Linked DNA regions of Callithrix jacchus. Each later gene encodes a partner of the first gene's protein in a complex. Links are inferred from orthologs where the notes say so. Each region holds a gene or a part of one and is shown on either strand. Other genes may lie near its edges. The genes, in order: AURKA, TACC3 and TPX2.

Evidence for each region.
Region 2: the proteins of AURKA (region 1) and TACC3 are in contact, whole or in part, in a crystal structure (PDB 5ODT), measured with the Homo sapiens proteins. The link is inferred for Callithrix jacchus from reciprocal best matches to the Homo sapiens genes AURKA and TACC3. Residues at the interface, in NP_001310232.1 of Homo sapiens: Leu130, Phe133, Glu134, Ile135, Gly136, Arg137, Tyr148, Leu149, Ala150, Arg151, Ile158, Val163, Arg205, Tyr207; in NP_001428248.1 of Homo sapiens: Glu523, Ser524, Phe525, Arg526, Pro528, Val531, Leu532, Gly533.
Region 3: the proteins of AURKA (region 1) and TPX2 are in contact, whole or in part, in a crystal structure (PDB 3HA6), measured with the Homo sapiens proteins. The link is inferred for Callithrix jacchus from reciprocal best matches to the Homo sapiens genes AURKA and TPX2. Residues at the interface, in NP_001310232.1 of Homo sapiens: Lys125, Arg126, Gln127, Trp128, Asp132, Glu152, Gln154, Ser155, Phe157, Leu159, Lys166, Glu170, Gly173, Glu175, Leu178, Arg179, Val182, Glu183, Ile184, Ser186, His187, Leu188, Arg189, Tyr197, Gly198, Tyr199, His201, Val206, Tyr246, Ser249; in NP_036244.2 of Homo sapiens: Gln3, Lys5, Ser6, Ser7, Tyr8, Ser9, Tyr10, Asp11, Ala12, Pro13, Ser14, Asp15, Phe16, Ile17, Phe19, Ser20, Ile31, Asp32, Trp34, Phe35, Glu36, Lys38, Ala39.

The regions. Positions count from the first base shown.
Region 1 is NC_133506.1:52,033,205-52,036,852, reverse strand, and holds part of AURKA (aurora kinase A), read left to right. Parts: intron 1-1,069; coding exon 1,070-1,124; intron 1,125-2,189; coding exon 2,190-2,381; intron 2,382-3,482; coding exon 3,483-3,621; intron 3,622-3,648. UniProt on the Homo sapiens protein: Mitotic serine/threonine kinase that contributes to the regulation of cell cycle progression.
Region 2 is NC_133504.1:191,415,690-191,419,337, reverse strand, and holds part of TACC3 (transforming acidic coiled-coil-containing protein 3), read left to right. Parts: intron 1-13; coding exon 14-877; intron 878-1,649; coding exon 1,650-1,725; intron 1,726-1,934; coding exon 1,935-2,064; intron 2,065-3,648. UniProt on the Homo sapiens protein: Plays a role in the microtubule-dependent coupling of the nucleus and the centrosome. Involved in the processes that regulate centrosome-mediated interkinetic nuclear migration (INM) of neural progenitors.
Region 3 is NC_133506.1:7,401,843-7,405,490, reverse strand, and holds part of TPX2 (targeting protein for Xklp2), read left to right. Parts: intron 1-232; coding exon 233-409; intron 410-773; coding exon 774-920; intron 921-3,117; coding exon 3,118-3,229; intron 3,230-3,648. UniProt on the Homo sapiens protein: Spindle assembly factor required for normal assembly of mitotic spindles. Required for normal assembly of microtubules during apoptosis. Required for chromatin and/or kinetochore dependent microtubule nucleation.

The DNA.
Region 1 (3,648 bases):
AGTACCAGACAGGAAGGAGGCTGAGGTCAGACATGGCAATGACCTGCTCTGTATGGAGCGGAGTGGACACTATTATTTACCAACTGTTGAGTGTTCATTCCCGGAACTCAAGGGCGTGCTTCATCTACCTCATCTCATTCAGTCCTTGTAACTGCTTCATGAAGGTAGCCAGTTATTAACTCAGTTTTACAGAGGAGGAAGCTAAGACTCAGAAGCAGTTAACTGATCCAAAGAGATAGCCAGGATGGAGAGGTGCAGACAAATTTGAGAGCTCACTTAAGATGCAGACTCAATAGAAGTGGGCAATACATTGCACCTGTAAGATGAGTGAAAAGGAGTTGGGATTGATATTAACTAAGTTAGTGAGCTGGGGGCTGGAGGGGTGCACATGTGATGGGCACATGGAGGAAGAGTTTGCACTTATATCCAAATACCTGAGCAAGACTATCATGTGCTGTTAGAGTTTGAGATGTTGGAGACAGACAAGTGGAAATGTCCTGTATGTTCTTGTGGCAAATGAAATAGTTACCCCAGTCCTCTGTTGCAAACTTTTCATTGTGCATTTTGCTGAATTTGTAGCATTTATTTTTATATTTCCCCTTGGCAACTTATTAATATAATGGAGGGTGGCTGGCCTATGTTTTGCTACATGTTGGTGATAATTTGTGTGTGGGGTATGGACAGTTGGCTGGACTACCTAGTAAGGGAAAAAAGGTGACGAGGTGGCAACTTGTCATGCATGGGAAGATTGGCAATTCTGCCGGAAAAGCTCTTCATTTGGAAACGAGGCTTCAGAAGAACCTGCACAGTTTGCCTTTAATTCATCAGAGAAGGGCCTGTCTATATATATATATATATATATGTCTGTTCATCTTTAGAAATTCTATAAAGACTTCACATGATAGAAGTCAGGGTGTATGTAGGAGACCTTTTTTCTATAAGGAAAACAAAACAACAGGTTTATTCTTGACATACTATTAATATTTTGGTGACCAATTTAATTCACCTCTATTCACAACTTATCCTATATAGTTATTCTAAAAATAGGTTTTTAACTTATTCCACATAGAAAATAATCCTGAGGAAGAACTGGCATCAAAACAGAAAAATGAAGAATCGAAAAAGTAAGCTTTCTTATTTACAAAGTTCTGTCCTATTCTACTAGAATATACTATTTCATTGCAAATTTAGTTGTAAGAACTCTTGGCAAAAAAATGAGGCCTTTATTTTCATTTAGAGGATATAAATGTTTCTAGATTTCCAATCTTAAAAATGGAATTTTGTGTATTTAGGTATTTTACTAGGGACTCAGAAGTGCTTTAAAAAATTGCTTTCAAATTTAGAAAAAGCTTGTATGAGAATCTGTTACAGAAATGTGTGGAAGTTCCTCTGTCCTTAGAAGTAACCACTGCGTATGGTTTATATATGTGTCTGTACTTTTTTATTGTATAAAAGTACAAGTTTAAAAAAATAGAATATGTTGCAGAATTATATACTCATATATGACTGAGGGTTTTGACCGTATTATATTATAGCATTTTTTTTTATAAAGGTTGGCTGTAATATCTTCCCCAGGTCTTTTCTAAAAGTCTCCTCTCAACTTCTGAACTGTCCGGACTCTGGAATGTGGGGGAGGAGCGAGGAATGAACCCACAGACAGTTTTGCTTTTAGCGGCCTAACAGAGGCTGAGACTAAATCCATTGGTTCTCATGCCCCTGTAGCCTGTGGGCTCCATCCTGCTTCTGTTGGTAACAATAGCTCTATGTCTACCACCAGAGTGGTTCTCCACCCAGAGAGTGTTAACAGCTCTGGGACTGGAGGCGGTGGCTGTGGTTAGTTTGAAAGAGGCACCCCGATGCTCTGGAAGCATTCCTCCCTGTCTGGTCACTTAACCTTTTTATGGTCTTCAGTGTTGTCATGGGCCTGTTCCTCTGAGTATAGCGTGGCCTTGGGACATTTCCCATAGAGTGATTCAGGTCTGACTCACATACCTAATAGCAGCTGGGGAAGTCAGGGTTTCATGTTGCGGCAACTTTTTGATAGTGGTTATTGCCTTGGTTCTTGCTAAGGATAAATACTGAGTACAAGTTGGAATCTTAAATTGCTTATAGAATGTGTCTAGTGCTCACTGAAAATTTGTTAGCAAAGGTTTGTTTTTATAATCTAAAAGGTTCAAATTCCTTCCTAGGAGGCAATGGTCTTTGGAAGACTTTGAAATCGGCCGCCCTCTGGGTAAAGGAAAGTTTGGTAATGTTTATTTGGCAAGAGAAAAACAAAGCAAGTTTATTCTGGCTCTTAAAGTGTTATTTAAGGCTCAGCTGGAGAAAGCAGGAGTGGAGCATCAGCTCAGAAGAGAAGTGGAAATACAGTCCCACCTTCGGTGAGTTTTCAGGTTCATGTTTGAAAGAATATTCACAGATGCTGTGCCCCTCCCCCTCCTGTAATGCCAGCCTCTTCCCAGCTCCATTCACTCCCTCTTATGATGCACTGCCTTCAAACACATGGCCTTTTCCTCACCTCCCCCTACCCTATGAGAAAGATAAGCTTCTGTACCACACTGGGTTATTGAGTAATCATTCTCCTGCGATTCTCCCATGCTCTGCAGGTTAAAATAAAATTGTATTCCTTTTCTTTAAAAAAAAAAAAAGTATAAATTTATCTTTTAGAGGGCCTGCTTTTCATAGTACCACAAAGAATGATTAAATTTGTCATTTTTCAAAGATGTATCTACACTTAAGTGCTCTGATCCTGAAAAATCACTTGAGGATTTAATGTTTTGTTAATGAAATAATTTATATGGGCAAGTCTTTTTGCTGGATAATGAAGGGGAGTGATACCCCATATTCTGAGGTAGGCAGGAGTTGTGAGCAGCTACCTGCAAGTTGACTAGCGCTGGCGAGTTTTTTGTTTTCCGTTTTTTCTTTTTGCTTTCAGTGTTTTTCACATTTGAATCAGATGCTAATACTTCAAGTCTGACCACATCAGACCTGGTGTGTCTCTACCTGGCAACACCTGGCTGGGGCTGGGAGGGGTGGGCATCTCACACGGGTTGTGCTTCCCATTGGCTGCTTCCTGCTGTCTACAGTCTGCACCTGCCCAGTCTGCTCAGCACCCACCTCCCGCCATTACTAATCACTGCTTTTATCTGTCACAGTGTCTGGGTAGCAAACTACTGTGGCAATGCCATGTCTTTCTTTTAATATGTAGATAATTAATATTCAGCTGAATTTTCCTCCTAAGAGTAAATATGTCTAAAGGAAGGAAATAGTCTTAATTAAGCTAGAGGTCCATTAATACTTTGAAATGCATGTAAAATGATATGTGGGTATATATATACTTCTTGGAGTGGGTTTATAGTTTGTTTCTTAAGTGGGGTGTGGGGGGGGGTTTCATGTGAAACACGACTAGTTTTTCATGAAGCATTTGTTCATATTCTTGTCAGCTCCAAACCAAGTGTTAGAGTGTTTATCTTTCATTGCAGGCATCCTAACATTCTCAGACTGTATGGTTATTTCCATGATGCCACCAGAGTCTACTTAATTCTGGAATATGCACCACTTGGAACAGTCTATAGAGAGCTTCAGAAACTTTCAAAGTTTGATGAGCAGAGAACTGCTACTGTGAGTTTTCATTTATTGTCCAGGCAA
Region 2 (3,648 bases), on another chromosome or scaffold:
CTGTTTTTAAAAGCCAACAGCTCATTAAGGCAGTGGATGCCAAAACTACTCATGGAATTATCCAGAAACCAGTGGAGGCTGACACCAAACCCCTGGGGGATGCAGGCCCAGCCTTTGGGGATGGCAGCTCCGGTGAACCTGGCCCGGGCGCCCTGGCTGACCTGGACTGCTCAAGCTCTCCCCAGAACCCAGGAAGTTCTGAAAACCAAATGGTGTCTCCAGGAAAACTGTCTGGCAGCCCTGAGCAAGCCTTGGAGGAAAATGTTCGTTCTTATTCCTTAGACAAGGGAACGACACCCACCTCTGAGCCCCTAGGAGACCATCCCAGGACAGAGTCCCAACACAGAGTGGAGCCTCTGCACAGAGCCGAGCAGGAATGCAGGCCTGGCGGGGTCTCTGTGCCCACAGCAGTGGCCACTTGGCCTCCTGGTGTGAACTCTGAGGAAGCAGTCGGAGGAGCGCCCCTTGTGGGTCTGCCTGGCGAGGCCCTGGCCTGCCCCGTGAGTGTGGGTACCCCCATGCCAGCAGATGGCACGCAGACCCTTACCTGTGCGCACACCTCTGCTCCTGAGAGCACAGCCCCAACCCTGAGTCCTCTGGAGGAAGCGGCTTCGGGTCAGATGGTCAGCTCCTCAAGGACTGAACCCATAAAACTTGAATTTGATTTCTCCGATGGCACCACCCCCGCGCTGGCTTCTCAGGGCTCTTTTCACCTCGACTGGGACAAGCTGGAGTACCCAAACTTCACCCCGTTCGGAGGTAGCACGAAGTCTAGTTGCAGAGAGGCCCAGCCTCCAGAAAGCCCCAAGACCAGGCTGGGCCAGCCGGCAGCTGAACCACGGAGTCCCATGGAGGAGCTGGGCTCCCATCTGAGCCAGTGAGTGTGGGATAGGCTGGGGAGCATGGCAGGGGCAGCTGCCCTGCCCTGTTTGTGGTCCCCAACCTCAGGCCAGAGGCATCATCAGCGACTCCTTTGAGGCTGGGTGGGCTCACCCTGAGGAGGGGCCTCTGGGCAAAAACAGGGCTCAGGTGCATCTAAGCTGAGGGGCACAGCTGCCGGGGCCCTGCTGAGGGTGCTCGGCCTTGCCTTGGCTTCCATGAGTCTTTAGCGCTCCTGGCCTAAGGAGGGATCCGATAAGGGTGGGCTCAGGCCAGAAGCCAAATGCACCAACCCCAGGCAGGACCCTCCTCCAATGAACTTGACTTGGGTGCGTCATTCCAACAGCCGGGCAGAGCCTGTTACCGCCTGGGATGGCGTCCCCTGTTCACTGGGGTCTTGGCCTCAGGTCTGCTGCCTCCTGGCCGAAGAGTTACTCAGTGCGGGGTCGTCCTGCCCCAGCCTCCCCACCCGAAGCCTCCGTCAGTTTCAGAGTAAAAGGGATGGGCTCTTCCTGTGGTTCCCTCTGGCTGCGTTGCGCTAACTTTAGAGTTCCCTGCCTGCTTCTCCCAGAGCTGGCAGGTGTGTGTTTGCCTGCTGGGAAAAGGGTGGTGAGGCAGCTTTGTGGCCAGGTCCCCTGGGGAAGCCCCTGCCTGATGCACTCTAGCTGAGTGTTCCCATGACCGGCACAACAGTGCAGGGGAAGGCAGGTGTAGGGGATACCCGGGTTTATGTGGTGGGGGGGACAGGCCTCTGCCAACTGTCTCCCCAGGCAGCTGCTTTCAGCCTTAGCAGAGGACACACCTGTGGTGCAGTTGGCAGCTGAGACCCCAGGAGCAGAGAGCAAGGTAAGGGTGCCTGTGTGGGTGCCTGTGCGCCTGGCCTGCTTCTGGGGAAGAGCAGCAAGCAGTGGAAGGCCCCAGCAATCTTGGGTGGTGGGCGGGATGTCCCGCTGCCCTGGCCCACAGGTCTACTTCCACAAGCTTGTAGGAGAGACAGAGCCCCACCTCCGGTACCTTGACTGCACTGCACAGGGTGACTCTCACCTTTCCTCTAGGAGAGAGCCTCAGACTCTGCTAGCACCTCGCTTCCCATGGGCTGTCCGGACAGTGAGCCAGTGCCCACCCATCAGCAGGGGCAGCCTGCCTTGGAGCTGAGAGAGGAGCACTTCAGAGACCCCGCTGAGGGTATGTTGCCTGGCACAGCCGCACGTACATTGAGTCGCCTGTGTCAGCAGGTGGTCATTCCGCAGGCAGGTGTCCCCGACTTTGAATGACTCAAGCACAAAGTTTTGGTTTCTCAAAAGTTAGGCACCATTAGAACAGGGCTGATGCCTTTAACATAAGAGACTTCTAGGAATGGAAATTGTGGACTCAGGAAAAGGAGCAGAAAGTGTGAACAAGGCAGTGCACGGGTGAGATACAGATGCAGAATCAGCACCTGGGCCTCCTGATCATCAGACATACTGCCGGAAACAAAAGCCTTTTTTAAATTGTTTTATTTTATTTATTTATTTATTTTGAGACAGTGTTCCTCTGTCACCCAGGCTGGAGTGCAGTGGTGAAATCTCAGTTCACTGCAACCTCCACTTCCCAGGTTCAAGAGATTCTCCTGCTCAGCCTCCTGAGTAGCTGGAATTACAGGCACGTACCACCACATCCAGCTAATTTTTGTATTTTTAGTAAAGAGAGGGTTTCACTATGTCGGCCAGGCTGGTCTCAGACTCCTGGCCTCAAGGGATCCACCCACCATGGCCTCCCAAAGTGCTGGGATTGCAAGCATGAGCCACCACACCCACCTCAGCCTCCCAAAGAGATGGTGAAACTCCATCTCTACTAAAAATACAAACATTAGCTGGGGGATTATGGCGTGTGCCTGTAATCCCAGCTACTTGGGAGACTGAGGCAAGCTTGAACCAGGGAGTCAGAGGTTGCAATGATCCGAGATCGTGCCACTGCACTCCAGCCTAGCCACAGAGCAAGACTCCATCTCAAAAATCAATCAATAAATAAAATCTCAATTGGAGAGCCTAAAACCCAGGCACGCATGCCAGGCACGGTGGCTCACGCCTGTAATCCCAACACTTTGGGAGACCGAGGTGGGCGGATCACAAGGTCAACAGATCAAGACCATCCTGGCCAACATGATGAAACTCTGTCTCTACTAAAAACGCAAAAACTGATCTAATATTGACAGTGGAGTGTTTTAAAAAAAGGAAAAAAAAACACAAAAATTAGCTGGGTGTGGTGGTGTGCACCTGTAGTCCCAGCTACTCAGGAGGCTGAGGCAGGAGAGTCGCTTGAACCCGGGAGGTGGAGGTTGCAGTGACCGAGATCATACCACTGCACTCCAGCCTGGCCACAGAGCAAGACTCCGTCTCAAAAAGAAAAGCCCAGGCACGCAGAAAACTGAAGTAACGTGTAGGGATGTTGGCTCGGCTGGGTTGGGCCTGTCGCCCTCGCGTGGGATCCCTGGAATCACACAGCGTGGCCTTCCCTGTCCGGCCTCACCCTCCGGGCAGTGTGTTTTCATGACCCGGCCTTGCTGGAGCAGGTATTGGTGCTCACGTCCTTGCTGTGGCTGCAGACTTCCTGTCTTTATTCATTCATTCATGGGTTTGGTGGTTTCTGCCTCTTAGCTGTCAAGAGTAGCACTGCCATGAATGTTCAGGTGTAAGTTCTGTGTGGACGCGTACTTCCGTTTCTCCTGGATGGGTAGCTAGAAGTGGAGTCACTGGTCACGGGAACTCTGCTTGCCTCTCAGCTGCTGGG
Region 3 (3,648 bases), about 45 Mb from region 1:
ATTGTGTTAATCATTTACCAGATGCTTTCTCTTGGTTTCACCCCTGTGAGGTGGTAGATGACTTACCTAAGTCATCAGCTCTCTTGATAGAAAAGGAAGCTAAGACACCTAAAAGGCTGAGTGACTTGTTTTAATTAATGCCACATATTAATATGATGTCTTCTGAGTCCACATTCTGGGGAAGTAGAAGAGAGTGAGGAACCTTATTTCTAAACTGCAGTTTTTTCCTTAGGAAGAGGATGAACCAGTAGTGATAAAAGCTCAACCTGTGCCATATTTTGGGGTGCCTTTTAAGCCCCCAATCCCAGAGGCAAGAACCGTGGAAATATGCCCTTTCTCCTTTGATTCTCGAGACAAAGAACGTCAGTTGCAGAAGGAGAAGAAAATAAAAGAACTGCAGAAAGGAGAGGTAGGTGTTTCCATTTCTGCAAGTAGTAGAATACTATTCTTTGATCCCTCAAAGATCGTCTTTTCTATAGTATTTTTAACTACAAAATCACTGACTTCTTTTGATCTTTACAAGAACAAGTAATTTAATCCTTCTGGCACAAGGAGGTTAAGTGACTTGCCTCTGATCACACTGCCAGTTACAGGCAATATTAGGAGAAAAGCCTTGATTTCCTTTTGAACCCATTATTCTTTTCTGCTAGAGAATGCTACTTTGAAAACTGATTGTCCTTTCTTATTTTTCAGATTCATCCAAATATTCTGGAGTAGCTACTGCTTTCCAGCTAGTCTTTATCTTTAGTCTCATGGGTTGTTTTTTCTGTTAGATACCCAAGTTCAAGGCACTTCCCTTGCCTCATTTTGACACCATTAACCTGCCAGAGAAGAAGGTAAAGAATGTGACCCAGATTGAACCTTTCTGCTTGGAGACTGACAAAAGAGGTGCTTTGAAGGCACAGATTTGGAAGCACCAGGTAGGGGATGGGGAGAGCACCCAAAATGTTAATTTCTTAGTTGGTTGGTTGGACAGGCAGACCCACTACACTGAAATCATCTGAGTTAATATACTAGATTGTTTCAGGGGCTCTCACTGTAAATCAGGGGCCAACACATTATTTCTGTAAAGGGGCCAGATAAGAAATATTTTAGGTTTAGTGAGTTACATATGGTCTCTGTCACATAGTGTGTGTGTGCGCGTGCATGTCTGTGTGTGTGTTTGCACACACACATGTTTTCAACTACTTTTTATTTTTGAGACAGAGTCTCACTCTCTCACCCAGGCTGGAATGCAGTGGTGTGATCTCAGCTCACTGCAACCTCCGTCTCCCAGGTTCAGGTGATTCTCCCATCTCAGCCTCCTGAGTAGCTGGGATTACAGGTGTACACTACCACGCCTGGCTAATTTTTGTATTTTTAGTAGAGATAGGGCTTTGCCATGTTGGCCAGGCTGGTCTCAAACTCCTGATCTCAAGTGATCCACTGGCCTCGGCCTCCTAAAGTGCTGGGATTACAAGCATGAGCCACTGTGCCCAGTCAATTCTTTAAAAATGTAAAAACCATTTTTAGGTCAGGGGCTGTACTAAAACAGGTTGCAAGCTGGATTTAGCCTGTGGGCCAGAGTTTGCTGACCCCTGCTCTAAGTGATCACCTGGGGAATGTCCCCTGCTCCAAGTGATTAATGGGGGGTTGTGGGAATGGACAGGCTTTTCTGGAGTCAGGAGTCTCTTTAAGATCTTATCTATTCCATCTGTTAGACTCATTCATTGTGTTTATTCCTTTCTGTTGATGCATTGGTAAGAAACAGTATGGGAAAATAGATTGTTAATATAGAATGCTATTTTCTCAGCATGATGTGCTATTTGCTCTTTATAAGTGACAGGTGATTTAAAACAATTAATTGATTATTTGCTGATTTAATTGGGATCTAATTCTACCAGGCTGGAAAAAAGTTTCCCTGAATTTCTAAATTTATTGGGATTTTTATGTCATCATTAATCTTGGACTGTTTCCAAAAGGAGCTCTAGGCTATTTTTTTTTTTTTTTTTTTTTTTTTAAGGAATTACCCCTCTTGAAGCCTGAGAGATGTAATGACTTACATGACTGAACGTTGGTCCCTTGTTGGTGTGGTTCTCTAGGAAACCTTAGGACTGTTGACTTGGAAATAGTGAATTTCCCCTTCTCAATGATTAAGGCACAGAATGTCTGTGTAGGGCATTTTCTGCAAATAACAACAAAAACAATTGTTTTGAGAAGTTTTTCAGACACATGTAAAAGTAGAATAGTATAATTAATTTTCATGAACCCATCACCTGGTTCTTTAATGATCAAAACCTGAAAAATCTTGTGAGCCACTGTGCCAAGTCTCTCTGCATTTTATTTGTTAAATAAACTGAATTGGTGGCTCACGCCTGGAGACGGGTGGATCACGAGGTCAAGAGATCGAGACCATCCTGGTCAACATGGTGAAACCCCGTCTCTACTAAAAATACAAAAATTAGCTGGGCATGGTGGCGCATGCCTGTGGTCCCAGCTACTTGGGAGGCTGAGGCAGGAGAATCACTTGAACCTGGGAGGCAGAGGTTGCAGTGAGCCAAGACCGTGCCATTGCACTCCAGTCTGGACAACTGAGCAAGACTCCTTCTCGGAAAAAAACTGAAAAACCAACTTTTTGTTTTTTTAATTTACAAATAATAATTGTACATATTCTTGGGGTACCTAGTGATATTTCAATACATATAGAGTATAGTGATCTGATCAGGGTAATTAACATATACATGATCTCAAACTTTTATCATTTCTTTGTGTTGGGAATCTTAAAAGTATCTTAAAAATACTTCCTAGTTCTTGGCTGGGCATGGTGGCTCACGCCTGTAATCCCAACACTTGGCAGGGCTGAGGTGGGTGGATCACGAGGTCAAGAGATCGAGACCATCCTGGCTAACATGGTGAAACTGTGTTTCAAAAAATAATAACACTTTCTAGTTCTCAGTTCAAATGTTGTCAGACTAATCTGTTCATTATAAAGTTTGCATGAGAGATATTTTACTAAGTTTTATATTAAACCTGCTATTTTTATTGATGAAACAGTTCAGACATTAGAACTTAAGTTATTGAGGTAGTAGTCATGTAAAGTTGTGGCATCGCTCATCTGACAGACTTTCTCTCTAATAGCTGGAAGAAGAACTGAAACAGCAGAAAGAAGCAGCTTGCTTCAAGGCTCGTCCTAACACCGTCATCTCTCAGGAGCCCTTTGTTCCCAAGAAAGAGAAGAAATCAGTTGCTGGTAGTATTATATGTACTCTGGTGGGACTGGGGGAGAATTGTCGGACTTCCCAGTGGGATGCTGGGACTCAGTGTGTCAGCACAATGCTGTGTCAACTAGAAGCATTTGACTTTAGCAGATGGTAGCTTTTCTTCCCCTAGACCCAGTCTTTTGCCTTTATTGAACCCAGCAGCTATGTTGAGTTCCAGGATGTGCCAGATTCATTTAAGATGAACCTTAGTAGAAGCAGCTGGTATTTCAACAATAATGATAGGCTTTCCCCACCCATGGAGAAACAAGTAAATGAGGAAGGGAGAGCCTGTATGGCTTTCTGGAATTCACTCTGAAGCAAACTTTAGATATAAAACATTTGATTCCTTAAATAGTGGGCAGTGTGCTAGAATACTGGGATTCCACTGGGTGTGCCAGTATCATGCCTC